Linked DNA regions of Mus musculus. The protein of the gene in region 2 purifies or fractionates together with the protein of the main gene of each other region. This does not show direct contact. Links are inferred from orthologs where the notes say so. Each region holds a gene or a part of one and is shown on either strand. Other genes may lie near its edges.

Region 1 (3,745 bases), on a different chromosome or scaffold from region 2:
GCTTATATGAGCCACACATGAGCACAGCTGACCGCTATGTCCTGCCTCCAGTCATGCCGACACACATCTAATGGATGTCTCTATTGGCACCTGAGCACCCTGCAACACTATTTATGGCAGGGCTGGGAGAGCCAGCATGGTGCCCCAGAGGACCTTTCCCATTGCCCACCCATGGTCCAGCAATCATCTCTAGATAGCAACTCTAGGAAGCAAATGGCAACTCCAGGGCCAGACCCTGTCTCTTGGGCTACCAAAGAATAGTCTTAGATTCAAAGGAGTAGAGGGTCAGATTCCAAGATCTTAGGGCAGCTCTCGCCCTCACACCCAAGCTTTAAGCAATGTGTGGAGTGCTGACTGTGGAGGCAGGATCCAGGCTGTGGTGACCCACGTGTAGCTATTAACACTGACCCTGAGTGGAGAGCCTTGGCAGAGGTCAAGTGCCCAACTTGATGTAACTTGATGGGAATTGTAGCTTTGAACCTGGGGAACCAGAACAGCTCATGTGTCCATGTGTAGAGTGGACTTAGAGGCATCCACCTCCTCAATACAGGTAGAACATGTCCAAAAGCGCTCCCGGGATCAGACCCTGGCAAGGCTCCTCTGCGTTCCTGTCCTTGTATGGACACCACCTCTCAGAGAGGACATTCCCCTTAAATGCCTTTCTGGGCTCAGCTCTCCATGATGGAGAGCTGGACTCTGCCTCTCTCAAACAGCACCCAATTCATTTGCTGACACCAAGCAGGGCATTAAAGAGTGAAGTAGTTAAGACCCAAGTGGCGATTGCAACCCTGGTCTCATCTCACTGTACACCCTACCCCTTGTATCAATAGATGCATAGTCCAGGACTAGGCCTGCAATCAACATTGCTACATTATGGAATGTGCATGTTAGGTGTTCCAGCTTAAATAAAAAGGGTGTTGCTCTGGGGAGATGAGTAGGTAGTGGAGCTTTGAAGAGGGTGAAGTTTGCTGGTCCAAGAGTCCAGAGAGGCTCCAGGGAAATTCTCAAGGAGGAACAGAGCTGAAAGAGAAAAGGCTTAGGTTTAAGCTGGCATCCAGGAGAGGGTCAGGGCCCAATCAGACAAAGACCACATCCTGGTAGTGGGCACCCCAATTATGCAAAAAAGACAGATTAAGGGAGGGGCGGAGCTGAGGGCAGGATCCGCCCCTCTGGATGCTTCCGGGCCTGCCTGGTCTTCCTTCCCCCACGTGACCTGTATCCAGTCATTCTCCGGTCCCAGGAAAGTGGGCGGGCGCGTTCCCGAGAGCCGTGCGTAGGCCTGGAGTAGGGCACGCCTGCGCCCGGGCAGTGTTGGAGGCGGGTTCGGGTCGCCCCGCCCCTCGCCCGCGTCTCACGTGACCCGTTGAGGGCCAAACAAGCGGGTCAGCTGACTCCGCGGGACTGCGGCGTCATCCTGCCTATAAGCCGGCGACCTCTGGCTTTAAGCTTTGCTCTCTTCGGGCCGCCGCGACCATGAAGACTCCCGGCGTCTTGCTGCTCATTCTCGGCCTCCTGGCTTCGTCCTCCTTCGCGATTATCAGGTGAGGACCCGCTCTGGGTCCGGAGATGCGGGGCTCGTCACCTGGAGTGCCGCGTGCTCCGGCCGTGCTGGAATGCACCTGTGCACCCAGCGCAGCCTTCCTCAGGGTCCCACAGACTATGGGGCGAGACACTCAAAAGGCAGGGGTCTCCTGGGCCCCTCTCCACTCCTATGACTCCTATGGTCGAACAGGAGGGTACAGTAGGGTGGCCACAAGTGGGTCTGACTCCAACCTCGCCTCTGTGTGTGTGTGTGTGTGTGTGTGTGTGTGTGTGTGTGTGTGTGTAGCGGGGCGGCCGCTTCTGAGGAGAAGTGCTGCCCCATGGATAGGATTCTGTTGAACCCAGCTGTGGAAGTTGGAAAACCTAGTAGGCCCTTGCCCCCCTGAACTTCCTCAGGCCTTTCCTTTTAAGGGACCCTGTTTGACAGCTGTGCACTGGTGCATAGCCCTAGAAGTTTACTCAAAGATGATCCCCCCTGTCCTGGGTGGTGAATCTCTCCTCCTCCCTCCTGAGTTGCACAAGTCCCAGAGAGAGAAGGTATGGAGTGGCCCAGTTCAAATACCTTGGAGCTGAGGTCTACCCCACTGGGGACCAGGCCCTTCTCAGGCCCGTGGACTTGGCCTTTGTGCTAGATGAGGTCTTGGTGGTAGCCCGTGTGTTTTCCCACTCTGTGAGTCCCTGGTCGTGGCAGGTGGCTGAGGCCGTAGGCTGCGGGAGTAGAGCTGGCTCTGCCGGCTGGGCACCAGGGTTGGGTGGGAAGGAGCCCAGTCTGTAGGCTGCAAGCTGTGGGTGGGTAGCCTCAGTGGAGCCATTGTAGGGAGTGGCCTAGGCTTGATCCTGCCCTGGGCTTGCCTGCCCTGCCCTCAGGCTTCTCTTCTCTGGGAAGAGGTGTTGTGGACTCCAGGATCCCTGAGACTAGGCACCAGAAACAAAGCCACACTCTTAGGCTTGTTGGCATGTTTCCTGACCTTTGCAGGGTGTGTGCCTCCCCTAAGCCCCAGGCCAGAAGCCTGCCTCTTCCAGCCCACTACTCTTAGGCAAGACTCCTATGTCTCTCAGAGCATGCACTGTGCATGCCAGGAAAGGTCAGCTGTGACCTTGGCTACAAATCCCTGGGCAGAGAAGTTTCAACAAGTGATTACAGATCAGCTCTCCTTGGGAACAGGAGCAAACTGGGGGTGGGGGGTGGGGTGGTGGTGGAGAGGTGACCTGGAGGGCAGGGCAGGGACCCCTCTCCCTCTGCTATCTAATGGTGGCGTCCCCTATTTAGTTGTCTGCATCAGGGCTGCAGGGAGCATATAAGGGCCTTGAGTCTGTGGTGGTAGGGCATGTAGGTTTCTTGGGTGAGAGTTGCCAGATTGTGTGCAGGGATGGCTAGGGAGAGCATGAGGAGTTGGTGTTGAAGCCTCTTGGATGGTTAGGGGAAGAACCTCCAGGGACTGTCCAGGATGATAATGTCACTGCAGGCCTGGTAGGGGTGGTTGGTGGGGCTCCTTTTTGTAGAGTCCACGTGGGAACCGATGTGGCTAGGGGCCAGGTTCAGTGGATCAACCAGAGTCCCATGGTGCACCTTGCTTTGGATGCACCTGTTCCTCCTCCTCCTCCACCTCCTCCTGATGTAGGATTGGGTTCACCAGGGCACCAGGTACAAGTGCCTGGCCACACCCTAAACAGAACCCACTAGCCAGTAACCCAGGTAGGCAGACAGAGCAAGAGCTGGCCCAGTATGTGCTGTTTGTTTCACTCTAGGGTGACTGAGAACCACCTGACTGGGGTGTGGTTGGTGAGGGAAAGGGGTGGGCACACTAGCCTATCCTTGGACATGAGGAGCGAGCTTCTGTGACTGAACCTGAGGTGTCTGTGGTAGTGATAGGATGTCCTTAGCTGATTCAGTGGGTCAGTGGGCCAGTGGGCCTATGGCTTTGGGGCAGGAGTTTGTGACATGTTGTGGCCATTTTGAGATATTTAATTTGCTAGAGGCACCTAGGTGCATGCCTGGCTGGCAGTCATTCTGTACTAGAGGGCTGCCCTGGCCCAGCCTGGGGTATTTTGGGGTGGGAGGTTGGAGGACACAGCAGTCAAAGCTGGGTGCTAATACCTCTGTCCCATCTTGACAGAATCCCTCTGCGCAAGTTCACATCTATCCGTCGGACTATGACGGAGGTGGGCGGCTCTGTGGAAGACCTGATCCTCAAAGGCCCCA
Region 2 (3,735 bases):
CACAAAACCTGTGAGTACTTCCCCATTACCCTCAGGGCAGAACCCAAATGCTTCACCAGGCTCGCTGCACCCTGGAACTGCTCTCAGGAAACTCCTTCCATCTCTACACCATGCCTACTTGTCTCCCCACCTACAATGCCTATCACAGCAAACGCCACCGTCTCCTTCACTCATTTCTCCACTAGTAAAAGGGCAAGTTTCAGCTCTACAAAGTTCAGCTAGAAGTTTCATTCTCTCTTTGCTATTTCTATGTTCTTCCTTCCTTCCTTCCTTCCTTCCTTCCTTCCTTCCTTCCTCTCTCTCTCTCTCTTTCTTTCTTTTTCCCCAAGACAAGGTGTCTCTGTCACCCTGGCTACTGTAGAACTCACTAAGTAGACCAGGCTAGTCTCCAACTCAGAGATCCACTTGCCTCTAGTTCCTGAGTGCCGAGATTAAAGAGTGAGCCACCACTGCCTGGCTTGAATCATTTTCAATCAATTCATCAATCAACTTTTCTATCTTCTTACAAGTCTCCCCCCACCCCACACCTAGGACCTCATGTGTGTTACACAACTGCTCTAACACTGAACTACATCCCCAGAACCTCAAATCATTCCTTCACTTCCTCTATTTTGGTCTGTAACTCCCTAAGGCCAAGGGTGACCTTGAATTTAAGATTCCCTCCCCTTACTTCCTCAGTGCTGGGACCACAGGTGTGTGCTACCATGCCTGGTTTATGTGGTGCTAAAGACTGAGCTCAGGGTTGTGTGGATGCTAAACGAGCAAGAACTCTACCACGTTCGCCCAACCCATTGCCATGACTTATGATCGAGTGAGTTACTACCAAAGAACTCAGCTATTGTTTTGACCTCAATACTGTCTCTTCATTTTCTTCCCCCAGTAACTGCTTCCTTTGGGGACTTGATGTCTATGCTGTATTAAGCCTTACTGGGACCCAGGTATAGTGGCATGTGCTGTTTATAATCCCAGCATGTAGGAGGCTTCAGGAGGAGGATTACTGTAAGCCAGGGGCTAGCCTGAGTTACCTAGTATGAGCCTGTAAAAAAAAAAACAAAAAAACAAAAAACAAAAATCCATGTGGGAATATCTTTAAATATTTCCCCTCTCCCTCTCTTGGTCTGATGGTAGTCATACAACAAAAGGCCGTTTGTAGACGACAGATCTCAGGTAAGGAAACAGCAGCATATTCAAGTTGGGGTACATTCTGTGAAGGTGTGTCTCTGTGTTTCCAATTGCTAATTCTGGACCAGCAGAGAGCTAAATGCTGGCAGAATCCTGGTCTTGCCATTTCTACAGCCCATTACTGGGTTTCTATTTTGTAAATATTCATTCTCCCCATCTGATCTAGAATCGTATCTGATTGGCTGTAATAAGGAGAGGAGAGACAAGAGCTAGGCAGGAAGTGGAGGGTGGCTTTTCCAGGAGAGAAAGGGATTCTGGGAGAAGAAATCAGAGGTGAGGGATTCAGCCAGCAGACAAGGGGGTAAACAGGACCAGAGCTGAGCAGAGAGGTAGAGGTGGCCATATGGCATGACATAGTGCCAGGATTAGTCTGGTTAGGGCAGCTACAAGACTGCCCTCCATGAGAGGCCTAAGTATTAAGTTTCCAAGTAGTAGTTGCTTTCCCATTTTCTCAGTTGAAAAATAACTAGATTAGTCCTGCTGTTAGAAACATATTTCATCAAGAAAATGTAACTAGCTACATCATCCTAGCATTAAAATGGGTTGAGTCAGGGAAGATAGGCAAATCTGAGGCCAGGTTAGGCTATATAATGAGTACCAGGCCAGCTAGGGCTACATAGCAAGTCTTAAATAAACAAATAAATAAATAAATGACTGCAGGACCCAAACACACAAGAATCTAAGCCCTTACAGTTCTGGAACCTTGCTATTATTAATTATTATTATTATTATCATTATTATTATTATTATTTTGATGTACTTTTATACTAAGACCATGATAATGTTTTTATTAGTTATTAGCTCAGGTCACTGTGCTAAGATAATGTCAGCCTTGCATTTCTCAAGGGCAGGAATTGTATTATGCCACTGGACAAAACAGTTTGTTCTGGAAACAAACGCATGTTTCCTCCCAAAGTGTTTCCCCCGCCCCACACCCAATTTCAAATAAATCAGTGTCTTAATGAGCTTGCAAACTCAAGATTTTTGCAACTGTATTATTCTATAATGGCTACATCATGAACTGGGCAACCGAATACTTTTTTTTTTTAAAGCAACCAAGCACTGTTCCTATCATGCCTACATTCAAAACAGCACATGATAACTGTTATGCGCCAATCTGCGTTTCCGGGAGATGAGAGCTACAAGTCCGCCCGAGGGATGCTGGAGGTTAGAGTCACTCCAAGTTCCGGGTGCTCTCCGACCAACGCAGGAGGGCCCACAGAAGCCGGGTCACCCGGGCTTGCAAGCCCGCCTGTCAGTCTCTCCCAGGAAGGACAGATCAAGCCAGCTCGCATCACGTGAAGCTCCCATTTCCGGAACCAAAGACGCGCACTGCACGTGAGCCGCCGAGTGAAGGGTCCCGCACGCCCACCCTGCCGTGTCCCTCCGATCGTTCAGGAAGACGTTCCCGGGGTCCGCGGTCCCCGCCCGTCGCGTCACCCCGCACCCTGCGTCCCCGATGGTCGAGCCGCTGCGGCTCTGGTTAGCTCCTAGCCCGCAGTCTCCGCCCCCTGAGCCCAGCACAGGAAGCCGAATGGCGGGGACAGGGCTCGGCGCCTCACTCACGTCCTCCAGCCGGCCGGCCGCCGCCATGACCCGCCGTCGCGGGCCGATGCCCCGCCAGCCTGACCTCTCCACCAGCGCCCGGGCGCCGACGGCCCGGGACAGTCGCACCTACTAGGACCTGCGCGCCCCGCCTCGGACACACCCACTCTGCGCTCGCCCCGCCCCGGCCGCCGAAGGCCACGCCCCTCCACCTAGATCAGCCGATCAGCAGCCAGGGGCGTGGCCCCCCCTGCAGACTCCAGCTTTGAGCTGCAGTGTAGCCCAGGCGGTTGTTTTGGGGTTTCCCCTAAACTGTTGCTTCATCCATTTATCAGAGATTTGGAAATTAAAGGATGAATTTCTCGAGCAACCATTTAAACCAAGTAAACTACTTCTCTTTAGAATATTAACTTATTTCTGTTGGCGCAATTTTTGTTTGCAACAATATAGATAGCTCTGTTTGGAAAAAGACGCAGTAAAAATCGCAATTCCACCTGTAGAGGGACTTAATTAGAATAGATTCCAATTTCTATAACACGATTTACAGATGTCTCCACAGGAAATTTCTGTAGTTTTTTTTTTTTTTTAAGGTATTCTGTTTCTGTTTTCCCCTTCCCCATCTCTTCTTTTTCTGTCCTTTGATTATTTTTGGTTTCAGTTTTGTTTTTATGAGACAGGGTTTCTCTACATAGCGCTACGTGTTCCGGAACTCACTATGTAGACCAGACTGAACCCTCGGAGATTCGCCTGTCTTTGTTGCCTAGTGGAATGCTCGGATGAGCCGCCACACTTGACCCAAGATTAAGTCAGTTCTTCCACTATGTGAATCCTGGACTTGACAGCAAAAGCCATTCATTGCCCAGTCCTCATTTTTGTAAAAATTAAAACAAAGTCTCAAGTAGCTCACACTGACCTAGAAATTGATGTGCACTGAAACGGGCCTTCAGTTCCTGATCCACTTGCCTTCACACAGTGAAATCTGGCATCGCTAGTGTGCATCATCGCAAC

What was found. Proteins that work in one complex are often made in the same cells at the same time.
Region 1: the proteins of Tmem192 (region 2) and Ctsd purify together in Homo sapiens (affinity purification with western blotting; 3 studies listed by BioGRID, with this or other methods). This does not show direct contact. The link is inferred for Mus musculus from reciprocal best matches to the Homo sapiens genes TMEM192 and CTSD.

The regions. Positions count from the first base shown.
Region 1 is NC_000073.6:142,385,533-142,389,277, reverse strand, and holds the start of Ctsd (cathepsin D precursor), read left to right. Parts: upstream 1-1,450; 5' UTR 1,451-1,473; coding exon 1,474-1,541; intron 1,542-3,659; coding exon 3,660-3,745. UniProt on the Homo sapiens protein: Acid protease active in intracellular protein breakdown. Plays a role in APP processing following cleavage and activation by ADAM30 which leads to APP degradation.
Region 2 is NC_000074.6:64,946,347-64,950,081, reverse strand, and holds the start of Tmem192 (transmembrane protein 192), read right to left. Parts: upstream 2,898-3,735; 5' UTR 2,776-2,897; coding exon 2,749-2,775; intron 1-2,748.